4 linked regions of the Lonchura striata genome follow. The main gene of each other region encodes a partner of the protein of the gene in region 4 in a complex. Links are inferred from orthologs where the notes say so. Each region holds a gene or a part of one and is shown on either strand. Other genes may lie near its edges.

What was found.
Region 1: TMEM216 (region 4) and AHI1 share a complex: the UniProt entries of both Homo sapiens proteins name them as parts of the tectonic-like complex. The link is inferred for Lonchura striata from reciprocal best matches to the Homo sapiens genes TMEM216 and AHI1.
Region 2: TMEM216 (region 4) and TMEM107 share a complex: the UniProt entries of both Homo sapiens proteins name them as parts of the tectonic-like complex. The link is inferred for Lonchura striata from reciprocal best matches to the Homo sapiens genes TMEM216 and TMEM107.
Region 3: TMEM216 (region 4) and B9D2 share a complex: the UniProt entries of both Homo sapiens proteins name them as parts of the tectonic-like complex. The link is inferred for Lonchura striata from reciprocal best matches to the Homo sapiens genes TMEM216 and B9D2.

The regions. Positions count from the first base shown.
Region 1 is NC_134605.1:58,103,633-58,111,170, forward strand, and holds the start of AHI1 (jouberin), read left to right. Parts: upstream 1-4,526; 5' UTR 4,527-4,594; intron 4,595-5,098; exon of another isoform or gene 5,099-6,575; intron 6,576-6,995; 5' UTR 6,996-7,031; intron 7,032-7,538. UniProt on the Homo sapiens protein: Involved in vesicle trafficking and required for ciliogenesis, formation of primary non-motile cilium, and recruitment of RAB8A to the basal body of primary cilium.
Region 2 is NC_134636.1:1,519,382-1,527,343, forward strand, and holds the start of TMEM107 (transmembrane protein 107), read left to right. Parts: upstream 1-4,947; 5' UTR 4,948-4,969; coding exon 4,970-5,041; intron 5,042-5,969; coding exon 5,970-6,007; intron 6,008-7,962. Other genes in the region: aurora kinase C, read right to left, coding at 110-185, 818-857, 2,463-2,545. UniProt on the Homo sapiens protein: Plays a role in cilia formation and embryonic patterning. Requires for normal Sonic hedgehog (Shh) signaling in the neural tube and acts in combination with GLI2 and GLI3 to pattern ventral and intermediate neuronal cell types.
Region 3 is NC_134633.1:4,806,568-4,813,767, reverse strand, and holds the start of B9D2 (B9 domain-containing protein 2), read left to right. Parts: upstream 1-4,189; 5' UTR 4,190-4,210; intron 4,211-4,466; 5' UTR 4,467-4,469; coding exon 4,470-4,557; intron 4,558-6,650; coding exon 6,651-6,776; intron 6,777-7,200. Other genes in the region: zinc finger protein neuro-d4, read left to right, coding at 106-187, 2,468-2,538. UniProt on the Homo sapiens protein: Component of the tectonic-like complex, a complex localized at the transition zone of primary cilia and acting as a barrier that prevents diffusion of transmembrane proteins between the cilia and plasma membranes.
Region 4 is NC_134608.1:53,696,355-53,703,353, forward strand, and holds TMEM216 (transmembrane protein 216), read right to left. Parts: upstream 2,325-6,999; coding exon 2,198-2,324; intron 1,897-2,197; exon of another isoform or gene 1,847-1,896; coding exon of another isoform or gene 1,834-1,846; intron 1,641-1,833; coding exon 1,539-1,640; intron 1,457-1,538; coding exon 1,364-1,456; intron 1,164-1,363; coding exon 962-1,163; intron 873-961; coding exon 857-872; 3' UTR 501-856; downstream 1-500. Other genes in the region: TMEM138 (transmembrane protein 138), read right to left, coding at 2,516-2,628, 2,711-2,786, 3,530-3,701, 3,774-3,901; lysosomal membrane ascorbate-dependent ferrireductase CYB561A3, read left to right, coding at 4,958-4,998, 5,818-6,023, 6,088-6,296, 6,371-6,525, 6,743-6,899, 6,997-6,999. UniProt on the Homo sapiens protein: Part of the tectonic-like complex which is required for tissue-specific ciliogenesis and may regulate ciliary membrane composition.

The sequences.
Region 1 (7,538 bases), on a different chromosome or scaffold from region 4:
ATTCTCACTCAATATGTCAGTGGAAGCAGGGAAATAAATGAACCTTAATAAAATACTGGAGAATAAAATATCCCAGTGAGATAAACAGTAATGTTTAAAAAGATAGGCTTGAAGACTTTAAAAAAAAAAGAGTTATAAGAACATGTTGAAGGACTACAAACTAAAGTCTCCAAACAGACTTGATTAAAAAACCAAGCCTTTAGAAGAAAGAAAAGATATCTGATGAACCTCATCAACAATTACATTCTGAAACAAAACAAGTACATTTCAAAGAATAAATACCTTTCTGAAAAAAAGAGATTTTGGAAATTAGTCTACAAATAAATATTGTTAAACACAGGATATGATAGGTATATTCAGGGGATCTGTTGCTGTTTATTAAAGCTTATTGCATAGTTAATAAACAACACGAAAGGAAAATAATTAAAACATATGCAAAGATGCACTAACCGTACAAGGGGAACAATTGTATTTTGAAAAGTTAAAAAAGCAACAATGCTACACTTAGTTACAGACAAATTCTAGCTCCAATATCCAATGCTTTCAGAACACTTCACAAAAACTAGACTTAATGCCATGTGCTGTTACACTACCACCCTGTGGAAAAGTACCTGAAGTGTCCTGAGAGCACAAAGGTTTTCCAAATGATAAAATGCTTTCAAAAAGACTTAGAATTCTTGTTCTGACGACAGAAAAACTGAGATTTATAGAGATAATAGATACTTAGCTATACCTCAGGAGACGCTGTTCAAGAAACACTCATAGAGAAGACAATGAAATTTGTCTTCCGAGGGTTTGTGACCTCATTGTCTGGACACACAATTTGAACCTATGGCTTCTGAAACCTAGTTTTCTGTCAGTGAAATAAAATGAGGTTACCTTCTTTTCCTCCTGTTGCAAAGTAAATAGACATTCTAGTACGTTAAACATATTGAAATATGAGGGACTGTTCACGTGACACTCCTAATAACTTCAGCCAATTTAAAATGGAAAATAAAATTAGTTTTTAAAAATTTAGGAGTGTTACATTCCCTGTTAATACCAGATCCCTAGGATTGTGCCACTTCATAATTCCAGCCTTGCTTCAAGTCTCTGCACTAATATGATGACTAAGACTTGATTTCCTTAAAACATTTTAAAGTCTTAAACTGAAAACATGATCAAAAAAGGAAGAAGAAACCAGGTTTCTTTAAATGTTTTGCTGAATTTTAATGTAAGATTTTTTTTGCTTTGGGCCTATAAATAAAAACTGTAGTAGGCTGTGAAAAAACTTTTCTGTATTACAGAATTATAGCTTTGGGAGAACTGCCACTCACAAGAAGTTGATAATACACAACCAAAATAAAATCCGTGGTCACAATTGGTTTTGTATCTACCCTGGAGAGAACTTTGTGAAGGTAAATGTGGCTCAACAAAGTCAGTGAGGATAAAGAACATTCTTCTGAGAACTCTTTTCTGAGAAAGGACTGCTTACTTGCCCCCATGAACTAAGGGCACCCACTTCAGGACTAGGAGACAAGTCAAGGACAGAACTAAGAACTAACAGGGAAAGCTTTTCAGTTCAAAGACTTGCAGATCTCTGAGAAGCAGCCACAGAAATTTAGACTGCCAAATAAACACCTACAGGCATTTCTACTGCCAGTATTGAGGCACACCAACTTTCCAGCATAGTTATTTCTTATGACTTGCATTTAAACCACTAGAAATTTAGCATGCAAAATGCAATCATCTCAGGATGCAGAACATATTGCAGAATTGTTTTCTATTAAAGAAATTGATTATTGGCTTTAAAGTTTTGACCCTTCTTTTTTTTTACCAATGTAATATATGTAAATTTCTTCTTTCTGTTGTCCCAACTCAAGCTTCACCTTATGTCAAATTAGATTGTTTGCTCAGAATACCAAATAGCAGAAACCCTATTATGTTTTGCTATCAAGAGAAAATAACCCACTGATGAGTTAAACAATTAACTTCTGCCAACATATCACTGCACAGTTAGCATTCTCTGAGTTATCCAGCCCCAGATCGTTTCCATTTTGTACACTCGAGTGACACCTCGAGGCTGTCCCTGCATGTGACAGATTTTACCTTTTGCTGAAAGGTGGGCTCTGACAAGAACCTTGATCCATTCTTCATCGTCCTGGAATTCCTGCGAGAGTTTCAGAATGCATCTGGTATCTTCAAACTGTTCACCTGTAACCCACAATGTCACTTTAGTTCGTGTCCCTTTCTACTTCCCACACATCCCAAATGTAAGATAATGGAAAGCTTTCTCTGTACAAGCCCCTGCAACTGAAATACCAGGTGAACACAGGGAACACATGCTTTTGAAGCCATTGAAAAACTCCATGCACACATGTTCAATTTTTTTCAAAAGTCTTGGTTTTCTGCTTCTAGCAGCATAGGAATTGCACACTTGTCTCTGCTTATGAACAGGATATGTTGTGTTTGGAGTATGCTTTCTTTCCTTTGGTGTCTGTTCCACAGGCCATCGAAGTACAGACAAAACTCATCCTGTTATTTTAGGGGCTGTACAGGTTCCCCTGCATTCTTTAGGTGCTCCTGACTTGCATTGCTTTTGCAATAATGAGCAAAGTCCAAATATTTTTTTTAAATTTCACAGTCAGGAAATGGAAAAAAAATATTTGTGACACTGACACAGGAATACACATTGCAACATCTTTAGCTGTAATGAAAGTGTGATCAGCAGCCTCAGGAACTGCTTAGCATCAGCAGGTCATGTTTTGCACTATGCAAAGTACATCAGAAGAACTGTAAGACATAGGACATTGTAAGAAGTAACATGAGGTGAAAAAGTCTTCTTTACATCAGCATGTCAATCCTTGGCTTACAGTAGCTTTCTATATGGAACATTCTTAACTCCAGAATAGTAATTTTTAACTAGTCCAGGATGAAAGGAACAAATTTAACATAGACTTGTTCTATCTATTATTTATGAGTAAGAACTGCAGCATTGTCATCTGCCTCTACCCCCCAAAAACCCAACTAAAAAAGTCAGCTAAAGAGGTTAGATTTATTCTCCCCTGGCACGGAAACTGGCCTTGACCACTACTTGCTTATAGATCTCAGATGGCACAAATACCTCATGTTTGTCAAAGGTGTAATGATCACAGAAATCTTAAAGACATTCTTTTGAAGCAACTGCTCCTGGAAACTTGGCACAAACTTTTGGTAGTAATAGAAAACCTGTGGATGTCTCCTGCCAGGCTTACTTAGAAGGCTTTATAGCTTTATTACTGCTGGTCAAATTAGACAATATCAAATCCGCTTTCCATGTCAATGATTAAAAATGACTGGTTTTGAGTTTGCCACAACTGAGCCTCTCAGATGCCAGGAAGTTAGTTAGAAAGGAAACATCTATCTGGATTTCTGATCCAATCTCTTGTTCAATGCAAGGCCAACCTGAAAGCGAGTCCAGGTTGTTCAAGGCCATTATTTCATGGACTTTGGGGCACTACGAAGGACAGGGAGATAAAGAATGGAGATTCACTAAGGATAAAGGGAAGCACACGAATGCTGAGGAGTTGGTTTATGTTTGTTATGCCAAGGCAACCCAGGAGACCTGCCTAACAAAACCAGAAATATCCCTACCTATCAGTTGAGTGCACGTAAGCTTTTGAGAAAGCAGAGGACAGGTAAGTACAAAAAGAGACATTAGTGACTGTCAATAACAACACATAAGGAAAGAACAGGCAAGCCAGGTTTCAGAAGGTCATTCTTTAGGAAGCCAGTGTAATTCATTGACAGAATTTGAGGGATGCAATGCTTGGGAACTATGTCACAAACTCAGCATCACAAGCATTTGCTCACCTCTAGTTTCTGAAAATTGCTATCAAACGAAGGCTAATTTTATTCAACTTTACTTCTGAAAAAAAACTAACCATGTTCATGGAAAACCTTGCACTGATTTCTCAAATCTTCCAGTGCAGGAGGAACCTTTGACATCTATAGTTTTAATCATTTTTTACACAGAATAATTGAATATACAGGCTTTCAATGACAAAAATGCTCAAGTTTATTAGGTAATTATCCCTGAGAGGGAAGAAAAATATCCCCCAAAGAACTGCTTAAATCAACTATTAAATCAGGCAACAAACAGAAGTTCTCCAGTATCTGCATAGCTGGAGGACATAAATTTGTGCTACTATTTGCAGAAAGCTTATGTGCATTCCAAACGCTTGTCACTCGCCCTCCTGAGCCCAACAGAGCCCATTACCCAGGGACTTTATTCTTCGCCAAGCTACTTTTGTTAGTCTGAACTCCGAGAGCTAATACGTAGTTTCGACAGTTTTGTTTTTTTTTTAATGGACGATGAAATACCCGTGCGAGGGCTCCCGTTTCTAATGCTTTTCATAGCTGTTTGTTTGTTTTTGGTTTGGTTTGTTTTTCCCCGTTCCCCGCGCCCCCAGCGCGCCGTTTCCCTGGCAGCCGGGATTGTTTTGGGCGGAACCACCCGCGCGGCGCTGCGGAGGGGGAGCGGGGCCAAGGAAGAGCGCACTGGCGGAGGGAAGGGGGAGGCGGGGCGGCCGCCGCCGGGCCACGTCGCGGCCGCGGCGGGAGCGGACGGGGCCGGGTGAGTGCTGCCCTCGGCGGGCAGCGGGGCCGCGCCCCGGGCCGGGCCCCGCCGCTCGTCGCAGCGCACGGCCCCGGGGGCGGGTAGCGCTGGGTAACGCCTCCCCGCCGCTGCTCCCTCCCCCGGCTCCCCTGCCCGCCCCGGGGCGGGGGGCTCAGCCTGGGGCTGGGCACGGCCGCGGCCGTTGGCGCGCGCGGGCGGGGAGCGGGAGCGGGATCGGGATCTGGGCCGGGGCCGGGCTGGGAGCGGGATAGGGGCGGGATCGGGATCGGGGCTGGGCTGGGAGCGGGAGCAGGGGCGGGAGCGGGATCGGGCTGGGAGCGGGATAGGGGCGGGAGCGGGATCGGGCTGGGAGCGGGATCGGGGCTGGGAGCGGGATCGGGCCGGGCGGCGGCCAGCGCGGGCCGGGTGCGCGGGCGCGCTGCGGGAGGGAGCGGGAGCGGCTGGCGCAGCCGGCGAGCGTGCCCGGAGCGGCCCCGCAGTGCCGCTGTCGCCGGGCGGCACCGGCGGCCTAGAGCCGCCTCAGTGCTGTCGCTGTCCGCTCCCGGCGCGGAGGCACGGGCAGTGCCGCGGGATGCCCTAAGCCCGGATGGGTGTTCTTTCGCCTCCGCCACCCCACCCCCGCCTTTCCCGGGCTCTGTGGTTCACTGGGGTGACGTCCGTGGGCAGCTGCAGTGAACATACACAGTGCTTCTCCATGCCTGACACCCGGCTCCGAGGCGGGGATGCCTCCCTCGCATGCGGGGCGCGCATCTGGATGCGCATCACATCCTCGTTAAATAATTCCGTCGGTTAGTCCAGTTGTGGTGTGGGGCCGGAAAGTCCCTTTATATCTTTTAAATCTTCTTTCAGGCAAAGCAGAATGTCACATTGGAAATTCAAATACTTAATGCGGTCTCTTGTTAAGAACAGTTTTTAATAATTAGCATCTAAGATAAAGCAGAAAGTTAGCAAACAATAAAAGTCGTCTGTATTTCCTTACATAGAACTGAAGTCAGTAATTTTGCCATCAGAGTCTATTTGCAACTTTCTCTGCACCGAAGGTGCCAAATTTCTGGGGTAAAAACCGCAACCTAACAGTTCCTACGAAGCAAAAACTTTCTGGTATGTTACTATTAAAAAACTGAGGGCTGCACCAGCTTTTTAAAACATCTTTTCTTATTAGTATAAGGTTTTTACAGGCACATCTAAACTGGTAGAAAACTACTGCACTTTTACTAGGTTTTACATAGGTGTTTATTTCGTCTGTTGGTTTTCTGGACTTAAACACTGAATTTTCATTAATAAAACTAGATTGGTTTTTGATGTCAGATTTTTTCAATAGTGAGCAGGAACACATTCATCTCTGTAATTTTGCTGTATAATTCTGAGCTGAAGTTCTTTCACATCTCAGGAGTAATGGTCACTGCATGTTGCTTAATTAGATGCCTACTAGTAAAACCCAAGATTTCCCTCTGTGATATAAAAGATGAGAAATAAACAAGACCTGATGTTCTACTTGTTTACAGACACTGAAGTTTATGCTCACTTACTGCGACAAAAGAAAAACAAGGAATTTAGTTCAGGAAAATCCTAAGTGTGCAATTATATTTTGTCAGCTCAGTTTACTAAATAGTTATAATTGGGTAGGAAATTTTTTCACTTCCCATTGTTTAGTGCAAATTCTGTATGTGCTGCTCATAGTAATGTGAGTTTGATTTATATCTTTTATTAGTGGTCAGTAAAAGTGGGTTTTGTGTATGGTGACTATCGTGGCATGTTTAGCATAAAATCCCTGTATTACAGATGTAGAGTATAGCAACTCAATGAATATTGTAAAATACTGTGAAAAGAGCAAGAGGTTAATGTAGAATCACTTTATAAATAGAATATTGGAGAAGAACAAGCTAGGTTATTTTCAGGAAAGTATAGTAATTGTAAGTTTAGACTTTATGAATTTGTTTTGCTATTTTGTCATGCTGGCTGGAATGTCACTTTCCAGGTATGTGTTTTTGTCAGTCTTGGATTGTCTTATATTTACTAACATGGAAAAGATCCAATTTGATCAGGCAAAAATGCATTTTACAAAATTAATGATGGCTGAGCTTACTCAGACTGGGGCACAGTGGTTGCTGAACTTTGATATACAATTAAATCTCTCCTAAGGTGAGATTACACTAAGTAAACAGCCTTGTTCTTATCCTTGTTGATTAATGATCTATATTTACACAAGCCTGATAGTTGCTTTAAAGAAGCATGTCAAAGACTATGAAGCACTAAATTGGAAATGCCTATTAAACAATAGCACTGTCATGAGAGGACTTTATCGCTTAGTTTTATTGCCACAACAGGGTAGACACTGATTAAGTAAACAAACAGTTATGCATTCATTGGTGAATTTTGATAATTCTTCATTTTACAGGGCATGCTTGTAAACATGAGGCGACCCTAGCCTTTGGTAAGATGTTTGTTCCATTATAATAAAAAAATATGTAAGACTAGTATTTTAACCAACCTATGGGTTATTTAACCTTTGACCAGAAACTTATTACTTAGACTACTTAAATAGAATAGTACTATTCTAGAATAGAATAGTACTTAGACTAGATATGCACTTATTCCATTTTGCTTTTGTGTACTATATTGTCTCATATTTTTTGCTTTAAGAGCCCTTCAGTATTTAATTTCTTATTTCTAATTAGTTTTAGAGGGCTTGTTGAAATTATTCAGCTAATTATAAGATACTTTTCCATGTTTCTGTGGTCTTTAGTCAGTGATTAAAGTGATAGAATCTGTTGTATTTTTTAAATTTATTTAGTTTTCTGCTCTTCTAAATTATGTGCTTTCTAGCCAATTGTGAATTGACTATTTGGAAAGCAGCACTTAGTAACTGTAGTACTTTTGAAATGGCCATTAAATTTAACCAGGTATAAATTGCAAAAGCAGTTTTGTTTTTCAATGGTAT
Region 2 (7,962 bases), on a different chromosome or scaffold from region 4:
AACCCCCCCAGGACCCCCAAAAACTCCACCCAGGACCCCCCAAACCCCCCCAAACCCCCCCCAGGACCCCCCAAATCCCCCCAGGACCCCCAGCCCCCTCCCCCCGTACCTGCCAGAGCCTTCCCGGGGGGCTCCGAGTTTGGGGGGTCCTTGCAGGGCACCCGCAGGGGAGGGGGGACCAAACTCTGGGGGGGACAGGGGCAGGGGTCACCCCAAAAATACCCAAATTGGGGAGGGGTCACCCCAAAAAATACCCAAAATTGGGGAGGGGTCACCCCAAAAAAACCCCAAATTGGGGAGGGGGACACGGGCAGGGGTCACCCCAAAAATACCCAAAATTGGGGAGGGGGACACGGGCAGGGGTCACCCCAAAAATACCCAAAAAAAACCCAAATTGGGGAGGGGGACACGGGCAGGGGTCACCCCAAAAATACCCAAATTGGGGAGGGGTCACCCCAAAAAAATCCCAAATTGGGGAGGGGGACACGGGCAGGGGTCACCCCAAAAACCCCAAATTGGGGAGGGGTCACCCCAAAAATACCCAAAATTGGGGAGGGGGACACGGGCAGGGGTCACCCCAAAAATACCCAAAATTGGGGAGGGGTCACCCCAAAAATACCCAAATTTGGGGAGGGGGACACGGGCAGGGGTCACCCCAAAAATACCCAAAATTGGGGAGGGGGACACGGGCAGGGGTCACCCCAAAAATACCCAAAATTGGGGAGGGGGACACGGGCAGGGGTCACCCCAAAAATCCCAAATTGGGGAGGGGTCACCCCAAAAACCCCAAATTGGGGAGGGGGACGGGGGGTCTCACCTTGGTCAGGCCGGGGGCCACGTTCTCCTTCTGAGCCATCCTGGGGAGCACGGAGGGTCAGGGGGACCCCAAAATCCGGCAGGGACCCCCAAAATCCAGTGGGGACCCCCCAAAATCCAGCAGGGACCCCCCAAAATCCAGCGGGGACCCCCAAAATCCAGCAGAGAACCCCCAAAATCCACTGGGGACACCCCAAAATCCATCGGGGACCCCCCAAAATCCAGCAGAGAACCCCCAAAATCCAGCGGGGACCCCCAAAATCCATTGGGGACCCCCAAAATCCAGCAGGGACCCCCAAAATCCAGCGGGGACCCCCCAAAATCCAGCAGGGACCCCCTCTGGATCCCCCAGTTCCCTTCAGGACCCCCCAAATCCCATCAGGACCCCCAAATTTTTCTCATAAATCCCCCAGGACCCCCCAATTCCCCCTCAAGACCCCCCAAATCTCCCTGCAGGACCCCCAAATTCCCCCCAGAAATCCCCTCAGGACCCCCAAATTCCCCCTCAGCACCCCCAAATCTCCCTGCAGGACCCCCAAATTCCCCTCAAGAACCCCTCAGGACCCCCAAATACCCCTCAGGACCCCCAAATACCCCTCAGGACCCCCAAATACCCCCCAGGACCCCCAAATACCCACTCAGGACCCCCCAATACCCTCAGAAATCCCCTCAGGACCCCCTAATTCCCCTCAAAGCCCCCCAATTCCCCCCAATAACCTCTCAGGACCCCCCAATTCCCTCAATATCTCCTCAGGGTGCCCCAAATCCCTTCAGAAACCCCCTCAGAACCCCCCAGTTCCACTCAGAACCCCCCAATTTCCCTTAGAAATCCCCTCAGCACCCCCAAATCCCCCCTCAGCACCCCCAATTCCCCCTCAGGACCCCCAATTCCCCCTCAGGACCCCCAAATCCCCCCTCAGCACCCCCAAATTCCCCTCAAGAACCCCTCAGGACCCCCTAATTCCCCTCAGAAACCCCCCAGTTCTCCTCAGGACCCCCCAGTACCCCCCTAGGACCCCCCAATTCCCTCAATATCTCCTCAGGATTTCCAAAATCCCCTCAGAAATCCCCTCAGGACCCCCTAATTCCCCCCAGAACCCCCCAATTCCCCCCAATAACCTCTCAGGACCCCCCAGTTCCCTCAATATCTCCTCAGGGTGCCCCAATTCCCTTCAGAAACCCCCTCAGAACCCCCCAAATGCACTCAGAACCCCCCAGTTCCCTCAGAAATCCCTCCAGAACCCCCAAATCCCCCCTCAGGACCCCCTAAATCCCCTCAGAACCCCTCAGGACCCCCTAATTCCCCCTCAGGACCCCCCAATTCCCCTCAAGAACCCCTCAGGACCCCCTAATTCCCCTCAGCACCCCCCAATTCCCCACAATAACCTCTCAGGACCCCCCAATTCCCCTCAATATCCCCTCAGGACCCCCCAATCCCCCCTCGGGACCCCTTAATTCCCCTCCAAACTCCCCAATCCCCCTCAGAAACCCCCTCAGTTCCACTCAGAACCCCCCAACTCCCTCGATATCTCCTCAGAATCCCCCAATTTCCCTTAGGAGCCCCCTCAGGACCCCCTAAATCCCCCCGGGACCCCCCAAATCCCCCCCAAATCCCCCCAAAATCGCCCCCAATTCCCGCCCCTCACTCGCCGCCCGCCGCCGCCGCCGCCGCTTCAAATTTCCCCCGCGCGCTCCCATTGGCCGCCGCCCGCTCGCGCCGCGCTCCCATTGGTCCGCGCCGCCTTCATCCCCGCCCCCCAGGACGCGCGCCGCGCTCCCATTGGTGAGCGCCCCACGAATCCCCGCCTCCCCAGCGCGCGCTGCGCGCCCATTGGTCGATGCCACGCGAAGCCACGCCCCCCCACCGGCGCGCCTTCACCCCGCCTCCCCCACTCGGCCGTTCCGCCCACCCGCGCGTGACTCGCCGCTGATTGGTCGCTGCCGGAGAGGTGAACGGCCAATCAGCGCGGGGAACGCGCGGTCACGTGGGGAGGCGGCCATTTTGTGCGCGGCCGTTCAGCCCGGCAACAGGGGCGGGGCCAAGAGGGGCGGCGGCCAATCAGAGAGCGGGGGGGGCGCGGGGGACCAGTACGGACCAGTATGCACCAGTATAAACCAGTATAGACCAGTATGGGCTGTTATGGATCAGTTCAGACCATTAGGGACAAGCATAAACCGGTGTGAGGCACTGCGGTTTAATACAGACCAGTATAAACCAGTATGAACCAGTACAAGCCAGTATAAACCAGTACAGGCCTCTGTGACCCAGCCCAGCCCAGTATAACCCAGTATAAACCAGTACAGGCCTCTATGACCCAGCTCAGCCCAGTATAACCCAGTCCAGCCCAGCATAACCCAATATAAACCAATCTAGCCCAGTATAACCCAGTATAAACCAGTATAACCCAGTATAAACCAGTACAGGCCTCTGTGACCCAGCCCAGCCCAGTATAACCCAGTATAAACCAGTACAGGCCTCTATGACCCAGCCCAGCCCAGTATATCCCAGTATAAACCAGTACAGGCCTCTATGACCCAGCCCAGCCCAGTATATCCCAGTATAAACCAGTACAGGCCTCTATGACCCAGCCCAGCCCAGTATAACCCAGTATAAACCAGTACAGGCCTCTATGACCCAGCCCAGCCCAGTATATCCCAGTATAAACTAGTACAGGCCTCTGTGACCCAGCACAGTCCAGTATAACCCAGTCCAGCCCAGTATAACCCAGCATAACCCAGTATAACCCAATATAAACCAATCTAGCCCAGTATAACCCAGTATAAACCAGTATAACCCAGTATAAACCAGTACAGGCCTCTATGACCCAGCCCAGCCCAGTATAAACCAGTATAAACCAGTACAGGCCTCTATGACCCAGCCCAGCCCAGTATAACCCAGTCCAGCCCAGTATAAACCAGTCCAGCCCAGTTTAAACCAGTATGCTCCAGTATATCCCAGTATAACCCAATATAAACCAGTCCAGCCCAGTATATCCAAGTATAGCCCAGTATAACCCAGTATATCCCAGTATAGCCCAGTATATCCCAGTATATTTCAGTATAACCCAGTATGTCCCAGTATAACCCAGTATAGCCCAGTATAACCCAGTATAGCCCAGTATAACCCAGTATAACCCAGTACATCCCAGTATAACCCAGTATAGCCCAGTATAGCCCAGTATAACCCAGTATAACCCAGTACATCCCAGTATAACCCAGTACATCCCAGTATAACCCAGTATAACCCAGTATATCCCAGTATAACCAGTACATCCCAGTATAACCCCATATATCCAAATATAACCCAGTATAACCCAGTACAACCCAGTATAACCCAGTATATTTCAGTATATCCCAGTTTAACGCAGTGTAACCCAGTACATCCCAGTATATCCCAGTATAACCCAGTATTTCCCAGTATTTCCCAGTATATCCCAGTATAACCCAGTCCAGCCCAGCATCCCCACCCCAATCTCCGGGAGGGGGCGTGGCCACTTTCCGGTGGGCGTGGCCTATCAAGTGGGCGTGGCCTTGGTGGGCGTGGCCTGTGTGACGGGCAAGCTTTGGGCGCGGCGGTGGGCGTGGCCAGGGCGATGGGCGTGGCCAGGGCGGTGGGCGTGACCAGGGCGGTGGGCGTGGCCAGGGGCGGTGGGCGTGGCCAGGGCGGTGGGCGTGGCCTGCTCCGTTGCCGCGGTAACAGCGCCGCGCGGGGCGGGGGGAGGGGAGGAAAACGCGGGAATTCCGGGGTGGGGGAGGGGTCCCGGGGGAGGGGGAGGGGTCCCTAGGGTGGGGGAAGGGTCCCCAGGGTGGGGGAGGGGTCTCGGAGGTCCCGTTCTGGCCATTTGGTGGGGGGGAGGGAGAGCGCGAGGTGGGGGAGGGGCTAAAAAAGCGGGGGGAGGGGAATGAGGGGGTCCCATGGGTGGGGGAGGGAAATGAGGGGCACCCATGGGTGGGGGAGGGGAATGAGGGGGTCCCATGGGTGGGGGAGGGAAATGAGGGGCACCCATGGGTGGGGGAGGGGAAGGAGGGGGTCCCATGGGTGGGGGAGGGGAAGGAGGGGCTAAAAGGGTGGGGGAGGTGCCAAAGGGGAGGGGGAGGGGCGGTCTAAGCCCCTCCCCCTCCCCAGGCCCCGCCCCCTGCCTCGTTCCAGCCAATGGCGTTGCTGCTGCCCGGGCGGTTCCTGGCGATGGTGGCGCACCTGGGCATGCTAATGAGCATGGGCGGGGTCAGTGCATGCTAATGAGCATGGGCGGGGTCAGTGTATGCTAATGAGCATGGGCAGTGTCAGTGCATGCTAATGAGCATGGGCGGGGTCAGTGTATGCTAATGAGCATGGGCGGGGTCAGTGTATGCTAATGAGCATGGGCGGGGTCAGTGTATGCTAATGAGCATGGGCGGGGTCAGTGTATGCTAATGAGCATGGGCGGGGTCAGTGTATGCTAATGAGCATGGGCGGGGTCAGTGTATGCTAATGAGCATGGGCGGGGTCAGTGCATGCTAATGAGCATGGGCGGGGTCAGTGTATGCTAATGAGCATGGGCGGGGTCAGTGCATGCTAATGAGCATGTGCGGTGTCAGTGCATGCTAATGAGCATGGGCGGGGTCAGTGTATGCTAATGAGCACGGGCGGGGTCAGTGTATGCTAATGAGCATGGGCGGGGTCAGTGTATGCTAATGAGCATGGGCGGGGTCAGTGCATGCTAATGAGCATGTGCGGTGTCAGTGCATGCTAATGAGCATGGGCGGGGTCAGTGTATGCTAATGAGCATGGGCGGGGTCAGTGTGTGCTAATGAGCATGGGCGGGGTCACTGTATGCTAATGAGAATGGGCGGGGTCAGTGTATGCTAATGAGCATGGGCGGGGTCAGTGTATGCTAATGAGCATGTGCGGTGTCAGTGCATGCTAATGAGCATGGGCGGGGTCAGTGTATGCTAATGAGCATGGGCGGGGTCAGTGTATGCTAATGAGCATGGGCGGGGTCAGTGCATGCTATTGAGCATGGGCGGGGTCAGTGTATGCTAATGAGCATGGGCGGGGTCCGTGCATGCTAATGAGCATGGGCGGGGTCCGTGCATGCTAATGAGCATGGGCGGGGGCAGTGTATGCTAATGAGGGTGGGCGTGTCTTGTCCTGACCCCGCCCCTTTCTCCAGGCCCCGCCCACGCTGCCCTCGGGGGAGACAGAGCCGGGGTGAGTGAGACCAGTTCAGACCAGTACAAACCAGTATAGACCAGTGTAAACCAATATAGACCAGTACAGACCAGTATAAACCAGTATAAACAATTATAGACCAGTATAAACCAGTATAGACCAGTATAAACCAGTATAAACAATTATAGACCAGTATAAACCAGTATAGACCTGTATAAACCAGTATAGGCCAGTAAAAACCAGTACAGACCAGTATAGACCAGTACAAACCAGTATAAACCAGTATAAACAATTATAACCAGTATAAACCAGTATAGACCAGTATAAACTAGTACAGACCAGTATAAACAATTATAGACCAGTATAAACCAGTACAGACCAGTGCAGACCAGTATAGACCAGTATAAACAATTATAACCAGTATAAACCAGTATAAACCAGTATAAACCAGTACAGACCAGTATGGACCAGTGCTCCCACAAGGGTCTCTGGGGGGAATTTTTTGGGAATTTTCCGGGGGAATTTTGGGGAATTTCGGGAGGATTTTGGGATTTTTTGGGGGGATTTTGGGGTTATTTTGGGGGGAATTTTGGGGATTTTGGGGTTTCTCTCACCCCTTCTCCCCGCAGGTTCTGGGCGGGATTTTTGGGGTTATTTTGGGATATTTTGGGGGATTTTTGGGGTTATTTTGGGATATTTTGGGGGGATTTTTGGGGTTATTTTGGGATATTTTGGGGGATTTTTGGGTTTCTCTCACCCCTTCTCCCGCAGGTTCTGGGGGGATTTTGGGGTTATTTTGGGATATTTTGGGGGGATTTTGGGGTTTCTCTCACCCCTTCTCCCGCAGGTTCTGGGGGGGATTTTTGGGGTTATTTTGGGATATTTTGGGGGATTTTTGGGTTATTTTGGGATATTTTGGGGGATTTTTGGGTTTCTCTCACCCCTTCTCCCGCAGGTTCTGGGGGGAATTTTGGGGTTATTTTGGGATATTTTGGGGGGATTTTTGGGGTTATTTTGGGATATTTTGGGGGGATTTTTGGGGTTATTTTGGGATATTTTGGGGGGATTTTTGGGGTTATTTTGGGATATTTTGGGGGATTTTTGGGTTTCTCTCACCCCTTCTCCCGCAGGTTCTGGGGGGGATTTTTGGGGTTATTTTGGGATATTTTGGGGTTTTTCTCACCCCTTCTCCCCGCAGGTTCTGGGGGGGATTTTTGGGGTTATTTTGGGATATTTTGGGGGATTTTGGGGTTATTTTGGGATATTTTCGGGGATTTTTGGGTTATTTTGGGATATTTTGGGGGATTTTGGGGTTTCTCTCACCCCTTCTCCCCGCAGGTTCTGGGCGGGATTTTTGGGGTTATTTTGGGATATTTTGGGGGGATTTTTGGGGTTTTTTTGGGGATATTTTGGGGGGATTTTGGGGTTATTTTGGGATATTTTGGGGGATTTTTGGGGTTATTTTGGGATATTTTGGGGGGATTTTTGGGGTTATTTTGGGATATTTTGGGGGGATTTTGGGGTTATTTTGGGATATTTTGGGGGGATTTTGGGGTTTCTCTCACCCCTTCTCCCCGCAGGTTCTGGGGGGGATTTTTGGGGTTTTTTTGGGATATTTTGGGGGGATTTTTGGGGTTATTTTGGGATATTTTGGGGGGATTTTTGGGTTTTTCTCACCCCTTCTCCCGCAGGTTCTGGGGGGGATTTTTGGGGTTATTTTGGGATATTTTGGGGGATTTTGGGGTTATTTTGGGATATTTTGGGGGGATTTTTGGGGTTATTTTGGGATATTTTGGGGGGATTTTTGGGTTTCTCTCACCCCTTCTCCCGCAGGTTCTGGGGGGGATTTTTGGGGTTATTTTGGGATATTTTGGGGGATTTTTGGGGTTATTTTGGGATATTTTGGGGGGATTTTTGGGGTTATTTTGGGATATTTTGGGGGGATTTTTGGGGATATTTTGGGGGGATTTTGGGGTTTCTCTCACCCCTTCTCC
Region 3 (7,200 bases), on a different chromosome or scaffold from region 4:
CAAAATCCATTCCTTTCCCCCGGCCCCGTCCTTTCCCCAAATCCGTTCTTTTTCCCCAAACCCCATTTTTTTGCTTTTGCCCAAAATCGCCTTTTTTGGCCCCAGGAGCAGCTGCTGTTCTGCGACGACTGCGACCGCGGCTACCACATGTACTGCCTGAGCCCGCCCATGGCCGAGCCCCCCGAGGGTACTTTGGGGCGTTTTGGGCCTTTTTGGGCATTTTGGGGCATTTTTGAGCATTTTGGGGCATTTTGGGAGAAATTTTGGGAGAAATTTGGGAGGATTTTGGGGGGTTTGGAGGGATTTTGGGGCATTTTTGGGGGGATTTGTGGGGGTTTCGTGGGGGTTTTGGAGGGAATTTGGGGAATATTTTGGGGGGTTTTGGAGGGAATTTGGGGGATTTTGGATCATTTTGGGGATTTTGGGGCATTTTGGGAGGATTTTGGGGGATTTTGGGGAATATTTTGAGAGATTTTGGATAAGATTTTGGGGGATTTTTGGGGGTTTCGTGGGGGTTTTGGAGGGATTTTGGGGAATATTTTGGGGGGTTTTGCAGGGAATTTGGGGGATTTTGGGGGATTTTGGGGATTTTGGGGCATTTTGGGAGGATTTTGGGGGGATTTTGGGGGGATTTTTGGGGTTTTGAGGGGGTTTTGGTGGGATTTTGGGGAATATTTTGGGGGGTTTTGCAGGGAATTTGGGGGATTTTGGGGATTTTGGGGATTTTGGGAGGATTTTGGGAGGATTTTGGGGGGATTTTTGGGGGATTTTTGGGGGGATTTTTGGGGTTTTGCGGGGGTTTTGGTGGGATTTTGGGGACTATTTTGGTTGGGATTTTGGGGGGGATTTGGGGAATTTTGGGATTTTGGAGAATATTTATGGGGGATTTTGGAGAAATTTGGGAGGATTTTGGGGGGGTTTGGAGGGATTTTGGGGGGGAATTTGGGAGATTTTGGGTCATTCTTTGGGGGATTTTTTTGGGATTTTGGGAGATTTTTGAGAGGAATTTGGGGGAATTTTGGAAGGATTTGGGAGATTTTGGGGGTTTTGGAGGGATTTTGGGGGTTTTTTTTGGAGGGAATTTAGGGAATTTTGGAAGGATTTGGGAGATTTTGGAGATTTTGGGGGATTTTTTGGAAGTTTTGTGGGGGTTTTGGAGGGATTTTGGGTTTTTTTTTGGAGGGAATTTAGGGAATTTTGGAAGGATTTGGGAGGTTTTGGGGAGTATTTGGGGAGATTTTGGGGAAGATTTTGGGGGATTTTAGGGGAATTTGGGTGATTTTGGGGCATTTAGGGTTTTTTGGGGGGATTTTGGAGAAGATTTTGGGAAAATTTGGGGGGATTTGGGAATTTTTGGGGAGAATTTGGGGAGATTTATGGGAGGATTTTGGAGAATATTTTGGGGGATTTTAAGGGAATTTGGGGGATTTGGGGGATGTTTGGGGATTTTTGGGCAGATTTTGGAGAAATTTTGGGAGAAATCTGGGAGAATTTGGGAGAATTTGGGAGAATTTGGGTGGGTTGGGGGGGGCTTGGAGGCATTTAGGGGCATTTTGGGGGGATTTTGGGAGATTTTGGGGATTTTGGGGATTTTAGGGGATTTTTGGGGGGATTTGGGAAGTCTTTTAGGGATTTTGGGGGATTTTTTTGAGATTTTGGGGATTTTTGGGGGGATTTTGGGGGAATTTTGGAGATTTTGGGAGAAATTTGGAGGGATTTTGGGAGGGTTTGGAGGCGTTTTGGGGCATTTTAGGGATGGAATTTGGGAGATTTTGGGTCATTATTTGGGGGATTTTGGGGATTTTTTTGGGATTTTGGGGGGATTTGGGGGATTTTGGGGGATTTTTGGGGGGATTTGGGGATTTTGGGGAGAATTTGGGGGGATATTTGAGGGATATTTGCCAATTTCGGGGGGAGTTTTTGGGATATTTTTTGGATACTTTTGGGGAATATTTACCGATTTCGGGGGGATATTTGGGGGAATTTTGGGGCTATTTTTGGGGAATATTTACCAATTTTTGGGGGATATTTGGGGGAGTTTTTGGGCTATTTTTGGGGAATATTTACCGATTTCGGGGGGATATTTGGGGGAGTTTTGGGGCTATTTTTGGGGAATATTTACCAATTTTTGGGGGATATTTGGGGGAGTTTTTGGGCTATTTTTGGGGAATATTTACCGATTTCGGGGGGATATTTGGGGGAGTTTTGGGGCTATTTTTGGGAGATGTTTACCAATTTCGGGGGGATATTTGGGGGAGTTTTTGGGCTATTTTTGGGGAATATTTACTGATTTCGGGGGGATATTTGGGAGAATTTTGGGGCTATTTTTGGGGAATATTTACCAATTTTGGGGGGATATTTGGGGGAGTTTTTGGGCTATTTTTGGGGAATATTTACCGATTTTGGGGGGGATATTTGGGGCCGTTCCGGGGCCATTTTTGGGTTGAAATTCGGCGTTTTGGGGCAGGGAGCTGGAGCTGCCACCTGTGCCTGCGGCAGCTGAAGGAAAAGGCCTCGGCCTTCATCACCCTCCCCTAGGGGGGGCCGCCCCCCAAAAACCCCCAAAAACCCCCAAAAACCCCCAAAACCCCCGACCCCCCCCCAAAAACCCGACAAAAGCCATAACCGAGCTGGGGGGGGGGAGGGGAGGTTTTGGGGAGGGGGCTCCCAAATTTTGGGGGGGGGGGGGGGCGCCGAGTGTTGCATGATGGGAAATTTTGGGGGTCCCTCCCCCCCCTCCCGCGCCCCCCTCCCCTCCCCCCCCCGCGGGCGGATTTTGGGGGGGTTTTTGGGGGGGGTCGGGAGGGGGGGTGGGGGAGGGGAGGGGGTTGGGGGTCTCTCCCCCCCCCCAACCCCTCCCCAAATTTTGGGGGGCCCCCCCCCGTGGTGTCGTGGTCGGTTCTGTGCTGTGGTGTCCGTGCAGTAAATTTGGGGTGACCCCCCCGTGACCTCTGACCCCGTCTGGGGGGGGGGAGGGAATTTGGGGAGGGGGAGGGGCGGGAATTTGAAGGGGAATAAAATTTTGGGGGGCAGGGGCAGAATTGGGGGAGGGGCAGAATTTGGGGGGAGGGGCAGGAATTTGGGAAAGGAGGAATTTGGGGAGGGGAGGGAATTTGGGGAGAGGAGCGAGAATTTGGGGAGGGGGAGGGGTGGGAATTTGGGGCAGGAATTTGGGGAGGGGGAGGGGCGGGATTTGAGGGGAAGGAAAAATTTGGGGGGGAGGGGCAGAATTTGGGGGAAGGAGGAATTTGGGGAGGGGGAGGGGCGGGAATTTGGGGGAGGGGGTTGAAATCTAGGAGAGGGAATCCCAAAATTTGGAGGGAAAAGTAAAATTGAGGGGAGGGACATGAAATTTGGGGTTTTTCCTCAGTTTCGGTGTTTTTTCCCCAATTTTGGTGTTTTCCCCCCAATTTCTGGGTTTTTCTCAGTTTTGGGGATTTCCTCCCCAATTTCTGGGTTTTTTCCCCCTAATTTTGGGGGATTTATCCCCAATTTTAGATTTTTCCCCCCAGTATTGGGTTTCTTCCCCCAATTTTGAGTTTTCTCCCAATTTTGATTTTTTCCCCCCAATTTTGGAGGCTTTTCCCCCCATTTTTGTTTCCCCCCCCAATTTTTTGGTTTCTTTCCCCAATTTCTGGGGTTTTCCCCAAAGTTTTGGGGTTTTCCCCCAATTTTGGTTTTCCCTCCCCCCAAGTTTGTAGTTCTTACCCCAATTCCTGGGTTTCCCCCCAATTTTGGGGTTTTTCCCCCAGTTTTGGGGTTTTTGCCCCAATTTTGGGGTTTTCTCCCAAATTTCTGTTTTTTTCCCCAATTCTAGTTTCTCCCCTCCAGTTTTGCAGTTTCCCCCTCCAGTTTCTGGGTTTTTCCCCCAGTTTTGGGTTTTTCCTCCCAATTTTTGGATTTCCCCCGAATTTTTGGATTTTCCCCCAATTTTGGTTTTTTCCCCCACTTTGGGGCACCCCAAGATGGCGGCGGTACACACAAGATGGCGGCGCCGCCCTCAAGATGGCGTCCCCCTACTCTGTAACGCCCAAGATGGCGGCGGCCGTACGGCAAACTCTGCCTCACACGCATGCGCAGTGATAACGCCGCTCTTTGTGGGCGTGGCCTGACCCGCATTGACCAATCAGCGCCGGCCCGGCGTTACCGTGGCAACGCAATGCGGCAGCGCCGCCCGCGCATGCGCAGTGGCGGCGCGGGCAGGGGGCGGGTGAGCGCCGCGCGGGCGGAATTTTGGGGGGAATTGTGGAAATTTTGGGGAATTTTGGGGGGAATTGTGGCGATTTTGGGGATTTTTGGGGGGAATTTGGGGCGGGGGACGGAGGGGATGGGTGGAGATGAGGGAGGGACGGGCGGGGATGGCGGGAGGGGAGAACGGGGCGGTTTTGGGGGGGATTTTTTGGGATTTTTTGGGATTTTTTTGGGGGGATTTTTGGGGTGAATCCGGCGGGTTTCGGGTCCCGCAGCCCATGGCGGAGCTGCACCTCTTCGGGCAGATCGAGAGCGGCTGCGGCTTCTCCGAGCGGCGCCTCTTCTGCAAGTGGGGGCTGCACGCCGGTGAGCGCGGCGGGGTGGGGGTCTGGGGGGATTTTGGGGATTTTTGGGGAATTTTGGGGAATTTGGGGGAATTTGGGGGATTTTGGGAGGGATTTGGGGGAGTTGGGAGGAATTTCGGGGAGTTTTGGGGGAGTTTTAGGGGGATTTGGGGATTTTTTTGGAGGATTTTGGGGGGATTTCGAAGGGATTTGGGGAGATTTTGGGAGGAATTTGGGGGATTTTGGGAGGAATTTCGGGAGGTAAGGGGTGGGTTTTGGGAATTTGGAGGGGAGATTTGGGGATTTTTGGAGGATTTTGGGGGGTTTTGGGGATTTTGAAGGAGATTTTGGGGGGATTTTAGGGGGATTTGGGGGGTTTGGGGGATTTTGAAGGAGATTTTGGGGGAATTTCGGGAGGTTTTGGGGGGATTTTAGGGGGAGATTTGGGGATTTTTGGAGGATTTGGGGCGGATTTGGGGGTTTTGGGTGGAATTTGGGGGATTTTGGGGGAGTTGGGAGGAATTTCGGGGGGTTTTGGGGGCACTTTGGGGATTTTAGGGGGATTTGGGGGAGGGTTTGGGGGAGATTTTGGGGGTCTTGGGGAGATTTGGGGGGATTTTGGGAGGAATTTGGGGATTTTGGGAGGGATTTTGGGGGATTTTGGGAGGTAGTGGGTGGATTTTGGGGATTTGGGTGGGAAATTCGGGTTTGTTTGGAGGATTTTGGGGGGATTTGGGGGAGGGTTTTGAGGAGATTTGGGGTTTTTGAAGGAGATTTGGGGATTTTGGGAGGAATTTGGGGGATTTCTGGTGGGATTTGGGAGATTTTGGGGGGATTTGGGAGATTTTGGGGGATTTTGGGGGGTCTGGGGGATTTTAGGGAATTTGGGAGGAATTTTGGGGGGATTTTAGGGGTTTTGGGGGAGAGATTTGGGGATCTTTTAGAGGATTTTTGGGATTTTGGAGATTTTGGGGGATTTGGGGGGATTTTGAGGGGAACTGGGGGAATTTGGAAGATTTTGGAGGGATTTTGGTGGGATTTGGGGAGATTTGGGGACATTTGAGGAGTTCTGGGCAGATTTTGGGGGGATATTGGGGAGATTTGGGGGTTCCGGGGTGATTTTGGGGGGACCTGGGGCTTTGGGGCCATTTGGGAGAATTTTTGGTGGTTTTCGATGATTTTTGGGTTATTTTAGGTGATTTGGGGATCATTTTGGGGTGATTTTGGTTAATTTTTAGGGTGATTTGAGGTTATTTAAGAGGATTTTGGTGTCCCAGGTGATTTTGGGGTGATTTGGGATGATTTTGGGGGATTTCGGGGGTTTTGGGGTATCCTAGGTGATTTTGGGGGGATTTTGTCGTGATTTTTGGGGTGATTTTGGGGTGATTTAGTCTGATTTTGGGACATTTCAGGCTGATTTTGGGATATTTCAGGGTGATTTTGGGACATTTCGGGCTGATTTTGGGACATTTTGGGCTGATTTTGGGAAATTTTGGGCTGATTTTGGGGTGATTTTCTCTGATTTTGGGGTGATTTTGGCTGATTTTGGGCCGTTTCGGGTACTGGCGCCACCTGGACCCTCCTGGCTGATTTTGGGGTGATTTGGGGCCATTTTGGGTTGCTTTTGGGATATTTTGGGGTCATTTTCCCTAATTTTGGGCCACTCCGTGCTGCAGGCTCCGCCTGGACGCTGCTGGCTGATTTTGGGGTGATTTTGGGACATTTTGGGGTGATTTTCCCTGATTTTGGGCCGCTCCATGCTGCAGGCGCCGCCTGGACGCTGCTGGCTGATTTTGGGGTGATTTTGGGGTGATTTTGGGACATTTTGGGCTGATTTTGGGCCGTTCTGGGCGCAGGCTCCGCCTGGACGCTGCTGGCTGATTTTGGGGTGATTTTGGGCTGATTTTGGGACATTTTGGGCTGATTTTGGGCCGTTCTGGGCGCAGGCTCCGCCTGGACGCTGCTGGCTGATTTTGGGGTGATTTTGGGGTGATTTTGGGACATTTTGGGCTGATTTTGGGCCGTTCTGGGCGCAGGCTCCGCCTGGACGCTGCTGGCTGATTTTGGGGTGATTTTGGGACATTTTGGGCTGATTTTGGGCCGTTCTGGGCGCAGGCTCCGCCTGGACGCTGCTGGCCGGGGCGGGCGCGGGGCAGACCCAGCTCGACGACCCCCAGGGGGGCGACGCCGCCCAGTGGAGCCACCCCCTGGACCTGCACCTGGGGACACGCGGCCTGCAGGGTGCGGGGACACCCGTGGGGACATCGGGGACACTGGGGGGACATTGGGGACACTGGGGACAGTGGGGACATTGGGGACACTGGGGACATTGGGGGGATTGGGGGCACTGGGGGGATTGGGGACATTGGGGACACTGGGGACATTGGGGACATTGGGGGGATTGGGGACATTGGGGACATTGGGGACATTGGGGACATCGGGGACACTGTCAGGGCCATGGGTGTTCAGGGAGGACACTGGTGGTGTCAGGGTCCCCAGGTGTGTCCCCAGTGTCCCCAGTGTCCCCCCAGTGTCCCTGATGTCCCCAATCCCCCCAATGTCCCCATGTCCCCCCAATGTCCCCATGTCCCCAATGTCCCCAGTGTCCCCAATCTCCCCAATGTCCCCAATCCCCCCAGTGTCCCCAATGTCCCCAATCCCCCCA
Region 4 (6,999 bases):
CACACTCGGATGAGAAAACCCAGGCCCTGGAAGTCTTTTTAAGTTGAAATAACCCAAATCCAGGAGAAACCACCCCGATTTTCCCAAGCCCCACGAGGTGGGAGCACTCGGCGGGAGAGCTCCGGGTTTTTTTTTACTTACCGCCACAGATTTTTAGTTTCTTTCCAAATAGTGGAGAGGGGGGAAAAGATTCCCCCCCAAATTGCAGAGCAAATCCCTGGAAGCCCCGGCGAGGCGCCGCCCCTCCTGCTCGCAGTGATTAGATTTGTCTTTGGATAGGTTGGAATTGTGTAATAAACTCAGATGACGTTGTCAGTCTTTTATACAGTGCTCCTGTTGCCTTCCTACGGTGGGATTTGGGATAATGAGAGAATGGGAGGGATTTGGGGAGGTCTGTGCACCCGTTGTCCCTCACCCTCTTCCTCCTCCAATGGGCTCCTGTGCTTCCCAAACTGGCTCTGAGGTGCTGGAAGCACCTGAACATTCCCAGGCAACGAGTAAAAATAAATATTTATTGGAAAATAGTGAATTATTCTGGAAGGTCGTAGAAAAAAAAAAGGATTCTTCATACCTTGAGCTGGCTCAAGCTCTGAGGAGTCCAAGTGGAGTGGAGAGTGGGAAAGGTGGGAAGGATAGGCCCAGGGGAGAGTGAGTGAAGTGGGAAGTGGGAAGAGGGAGGAATGAATCCATGTGGCAGCAGGTCCCTGGTGAAGTGGGAAGTAGGAAAAATGGGAGGGATGTGTCCAGGAGGCACCAGATGAAATGGTCAGTGGGAAGGGTGGGATCATCCCCATTCCCGGGGCTGGGAAGTGGAGCTGGCACGGGTGATGCTTCCCTGTGTCCCTGGGCCGTGTCCTCAGTAGGGATCCATGCTGTGGAAAAGACAGAGACAGGGATGTGTGGGTCCCAAACCAACCTGGCAGCTGCTGCGCCAGCTCCCCCAGTTCCCAGCATGCGGCACCTGGAGAAGGAGAGCAGTGCCAGGAAGCCCAGAAGCAGCTCCAGGCCGTAGAAGAGGAGCAGGATGGCGCTCAGGAACGCTTCCAGGCGCAGGGAATATGTCTGGAGCAGCAGGTAGTACACAGCCAGCACAGCCGCCGGCACTGTAAGCGCCAGGCTGAGGGACAGCGGCACCTTCCGCTGGCACAGGTTCCCCTTGGAGCCTGTGGAACACAGAGCTGGGATCAGAACATGGGAGGGTTTTGGGTGGGGAATTAAATGTCCCGTTCCCGTGGGCAGGAACACCTTCATCTAGCCCAGGCTGCTGCATGCCCCATTCCAACCTGAACCTCCAGGGATGTCTTCGGGGGTGTCCCAGGACCCTGCACTCCCTGTGGAGCCTCTGGCATTCAGGGGCACTCACCGAAGAAGATGCGTGTGGCCTCAATGCCGAGGTAGAGGAGGAGCAGCACCACGTCCAGCACCAAGTTGTAGACGGGATAGGGCAGGAGCAGCACTGCCGGAAAAGCACCGCCCTCAGCATCGCATTCCTGCCCACCCCGGCGGGATGGGGAACAGCTCTGGAGCGAAGCACTCACCTTTGTACACGAACACGAACGCTTCCAGGAGAAAATACGTGGCGCAGTACCAGCCGTTGAGGAAGAGCAGGACCTGCAGCGGAGCCGAGGAGCGATGGCGGCCTGAGGGGACACGGGGCGGCCGTGAGGGGGGGGGGGAGAGCACGGGGCGGGCAGGGCAGCGCGGCCCCCGGAGCCCTGCAGCGCCTTGCCCGCCCCCTTAGCCCATTCCCAGCGCTGCTCCCAGCCCGAGCTCCTCCCGGTAGCCCCCGCTGCCCTCCGGTAGCTCCCGTTTCCCCCCCGGTCCCGCTCCCACCCCTGGGCGCCATCTTCCATCTCCATGGGGACGGCCGCCGCCGCGCTCGCCCGCGCGGGGGCGCTGCGGGCGGGGCCGCGGGGCGGGCGCGCGGGGCGGCGGGGCGGGCGCGCGGGGCCGCGGGGCGGGCGCGCGGGGCGGGCGCGCGGGGCGGCGGGGCGGGCGCGCGGGGCGGGCGCGCGGGGCCGCGGGGCGGGCGCGCGGGGCGGCGGGGCGGGCGCGCGCGGCCGCTCGGTCCCCGCCGCTCCCGGCGGTGCGCGCGCCGCTCCCGCCGCACCGCTCCGTGGGCGGAGCGCCGCGCGGGTTCGCGTCCCCTCCCTCCTAAACCCGCCCGCTCGTATCCGCTGGGAGAAGAATCCCACACCGGAACACGGGAACGGCCCCGTTCGAACTCCGCCCGCCAAGCGCAGCGCCGAGCCGGGTTTCAATGAAAGGAGTGCAGCCGTGACACCGGGTGGGCGCACACACCCGGGAGCCTCCGGAAACCACATCCGATTTATTCCTTTAGGGTTTCCATTAACATTCCAGTGCCAACCAAGGCTGTGGCACGCACGGACGCCCCACAAGCGTCCCGCTGACTTCCAGAATCCCAAGGACTGCTCCCTAGAGAAAGGATGAGCCAGAAGTGACCCCGGCAGAGCCTGTGGAGTGCAAGGAGACTCCAGGGGATCCTGGGGATCCATCAGCCACGGAAGTGGGCAAATTCCTTGCGGAGCCAGAGTGAATCCTGGTAGAAGAGGGGGTCTCCCAGGTGCACAGCTGTCCGCTTGTAGAAGTAGCAGTAAAGCACGGCCGCTGCAGGGAATTTCAGGATGAGAGAGGGCCCCCAGCATCCCCAAAGGATGTGGGATCCCACCCTGATCCCTGGAGTCCTTACCCAGCCTCTGGAAAACGAACAGGGTCTGAAGGCCTTCAGTCCAGATGAAGCGGCTGGAGTCACGCCAGCGCAGGTTCTGAGGGGGTTGGAAAACTGGGAATAACCCCTGGAGCAGTTTTGTTGAGCCCTCCCAGACCCCTCACCCCATTCCAAAGGTTCTGAGCGGGATGGAGGGACATCAAGCTAGGAGTAACACCTGGAGAAGTTTGGGAATCCCCCTACTCTAAGGTTAAGCAGCTCAGGGGATTTAGGCATTGAGCCCGGACCTATTCCGGCTTCAGACTGCAGATCCCTGCAAATCCCTGCAAATCCCTTTCCTGGACGGCGTGGGCAGCGCTGGAGCAGCTGCTGTGGCTCCTGACCCCTCACAACATTCCCTGTGCTCCGGGGCAGCAGGATGGAGGGAACTTCAGGAAGTGTCCAGGGGATGGGAACTGCTCCGTTGGGAAGGAGCTAGGAAGGAGTTTATTCAGGAAAGAAAAGGGGAAGGTGCTGCCAGGACAGAGCCAGGAGCTGCAGGAAGGGAGTGGGCTGCCCCCAGGTATAGGGACTGATCCCAGAAAAACCAGGAGCTGCTAGCACAGGCTTTCTCTGGGGAAAGAGGATTTTCTGATGGGTCACAGCCCTTAGGGAATGAGCTGGGATGGGGCTGGGATTGGGCAGGACACTTCCAGCCTGATGCCAACCACAGTGTCATGGAATGGGACATCTTCCATGGGGCACCTTCCAGGGGGAGACCATGAGAAAGGACTGTGGGAAGCTGGGGGTCATGGAAAAATCCCTTGGGAGAATCCAGCAGCTGTGCCCACGCCACCCTACCATAATCCAGATGTGGAAGGAGATGCTGAGTGCCAGGTAGGCTGCAGAGAGCAGGATGGTTCCCTTGAATTTATGGAAGAGGAGGTTGACCAATCCCGCCTGGAAAACGTAGGTGTTGAAGAACATGAGGAAGATGATGATGACGTTGAAGACGATGGCGATGTCCTGGATGCTGCCGGGAGAACAGAGGGACCGTGGGCTCCTGGGCCTCCTGGATCTGCCGCCCCGCCTTGCCCGTACTCACATGAAGAGGACGAGCTGCACGGCCGGAGCTGTGCGCAGCAGCTCCGAGAAGGAATTCACAAAGAGGTCGTAGGAAAGCAGCAGGAACTGCAGGAACAGCACCAGGCTGTAGTTGCTGGGCTGGAGCATCCTCCTTCCTGGGGCTTGGAGCCCTCAGCCCCAGCATTCCCAACGGATCATGGCGCTGAGGGGGCTCAGCAGGGCCTCTCCCGACGTCCCAAACCTGGAGGGGGAAGACGGGGATTGGGATGGATGCCATAAATCAGGGAAACCCAATGAGCTGTGTCCTCTCTCTCCTCTGGTGTCTTCCTTCCCCTTGAAATCCACCCCCATCCCCATGTGAGGAAATCCAGGGATGAGGGAGACGTGCAGTCCCAAGAAGCAGTGTCCAAGCAGGTTATTTCTGGCTGTTCTCAGCTCCATGGGCAGTTCTGAGCAGGTTTGGGCATGTTCCACTCTGGGCACAGGGAGAGGAGTGAGGAGAGACAGACGGGAAGTTTTGGACACCTGAGCAGGTACGGTCCTTGTGGGACACATATCCCACAGGGGGAACAGCCCCCTCAGGGATCATCCTGGCTGAAGAGGGACGGAGGGGACAGGGATCCCCCGTGTCCTGGCAGGAAAAGGGCTGTGCTGGGAGCTGAATTCCCTGAGGGGGAGACATGGTGACAGACGGGGGTGAAGGGGCTGGAAAGGGAGGAAAGTGGTTGGAAATGCGGGGAAAGAAGGCTGGACATGGGAGCGAGAAACTGATGGACACGAGGGGGGAAAGAGTTGGATATGGGGATTAAGAAATCACTCTCTGCCCCTCCAGATCCGCGTCACTCCGCCCCTCCTCACAGCCACCACCGCGGATCCCCCGCGCCCCCTCTCGCCGCCCTCTCCCCCCGTTCGTGGCCCCCTCCCCTCTCCGGGGTCCACCCCCCGACACGCCCAAAGCCCTCTGGGTGCGGAGGTCCCGGTGCCGGGGGTGCCGCCGGGTCCCCGCCGTGCCCCCGCCCCGGGCGCTCACCCGCCGCCGCCATCTTGGTCCCCATGGAAACGGCCGCCAGAGCCGGAAGTGGAGCCGGAAGTGGCGGCTGGAGGCCCCGCGGGGCCGCTCTGGCCGCCGCGCCTCTCTGTGGCGCCGCATTGGGGCGGGCGGGGAAACCATAGAGATGAGCGGGCAGAGCGGCGCCCGCCAAGATGGCGGCGCCCAGTGAGGAGGAGGGGGCGGTGGGGCGCAGGTACAGCCCCGGGGCTGGGAGCGCTGGTGGGCGGCTCCGGGGCTGGAGGGGCTGAGGGACCTCGTGGTCTGGGCTTTGGGTGGTGTCAGGGCCGGGCGTTTTGGTCCAGGTCCAGGTTTGGGCGGGGCTGTGGAGCCACGTGTTCCCAGATTTCGGGGAGCCGTGGCACCGAGTGTGCCAGATTTGGGAAATCCGTGAGTCTTTGTGTCCCGGAGATATCACAGATTTTGGGGAACCATAGGGCCGTGTGTCTCCACCCCTTTCCTGCCTCTATGTCCTGTGAGGCAGCTGATTTGAGGGTGTCGGGACAGCCCCGGTCCCCAGAGGGGACAGAAATAGCCAATTCTGGGGGCACATGCAAATCGCATAGAAATGAGAGCGATGGGGTTCCTGCCAAGGGGACCATGACAGCTGACACCAGGAGCTCCTCACTGCCATTCCCGGGGTGCTGTGCCCTGCTCTGCATGTCCTGTTCCATCCCTGGCCTCCTTCCCAGTCCAGGGCACAGCTGGACTGTGATCACCCCCTCAGGGTTCCCAGTTCCCCTTTCCACGGTTTCTCCTGGTGATGTTGGAGAGCCCCAAAAGGCACCTCAATCATCCCCAGGCGCCACCATCCTGGATCCATCCCTGCCACCATAACCAGGCTGGGAAGCTGCTGGGCCACCATCCGTGGCTGGGAGGCAGCTCCATCGCCGTCACCTTCCCCAGGCTGTCAAACAGCTGTCCCCCACACCCTTCGGGACTCCCAGTTCCCCTTTCCGTGGCTCCTCCCTGGGACCGCATCCGGAGCCTGAGCCGGCTCCTCACTCGCCCACAGGTGCCACCAGCGCTCCGCGGCCATGCTGGACGTGCCCTTCTTGCCCTTCTGTGCCTTCCTGGGAACGCTGGGATTGCTCTGCGTGGCCATGGTGGGCTCCTGGTGCCAGCACTGGCGCGGGGGCTTTTCCCTGGACGGCAGCTCCCGGACATTCAACTGGCACCCCGTGCTGATGGTGACGGGATTGGTGGTGCTCTACGGCGCAGGTGAGCAAAGGGAGCGCGGGGATCCCGCCACAGCTCCTTCCTGACCTTGTTCTCCCCCTCACAGCTGCCCTGGTTTACCGCATTCCCTACACATGGAGTGGCCCCAAGCTTCCCTGGAAGGTGCTGCACGGCAGCTTGGCTTTGGGGGCGTTCATCCTGACCGTGCTGGGGCTGTCGGCCGTGTTCTGCTTCCACAACTCCCAAGGGACGCCCAACATGTACTCGCTGCACAGCTGGATGGGGCTGGGAACTGTCCTGCTCTTCTCCTGCCAGGTGGGAATCCCTCCTGGATGCCCCCCATCCCTCCAGCATCCCGAGTTTTCCACCCTCACCTTTTCTTCCCACAGTGGGTGGCGGGTTTTGGAGCATTCCTGCTTCCCTGGGCTCCCACCTGGCTGCGGGCACTCTACAAGCCCATCCACGTTTTCTTCGGCTCCACCATCCTCTTGTTGTCCGTGGCTTCCTGTGTGTCAGGAATCAACGAGAAGCTTTTCTTCAGCCTGTGAGAGTCAGAGCTGGGGGGTGGCTTGGGAAGATCCCTCACAGGGATAGGGGGGGCTCAGGATGTGGATTGGGGCTGGATTTGGGAGTGACCAGCGCAGAGCAAAGGGAACTGAGCACTTCCTTAGGTGTGTGGCTCCCTGCACAGTTCCCTGCAAGGTTTGGGAGGGGTTTCAGGAATATTCAGAACATTCCCAGCCTCTGTTTCTCCGCTCCAGGAAGAACGGGACAATGCAGTACAAGCTCCTGCCGGCTGAGGCTGTGTTTGCCAACACCCTGGGACTCCTCATCCTCATTTTTGGAGTGCTGGTGGTGGCTGCCCTGGCCAGGCCCAGCTGGAAGCGCCCAGATTCCGACTCCCCAGATTCCCGGCAGGTACAGGACACGCTGGGTGGATTTGGGAAGCCCCAGCACAGTTCCAAGGGTGGGGGAAGGATTGAGGGATCCCGGCTCATCCCTGTCTCTCCCACAGCCC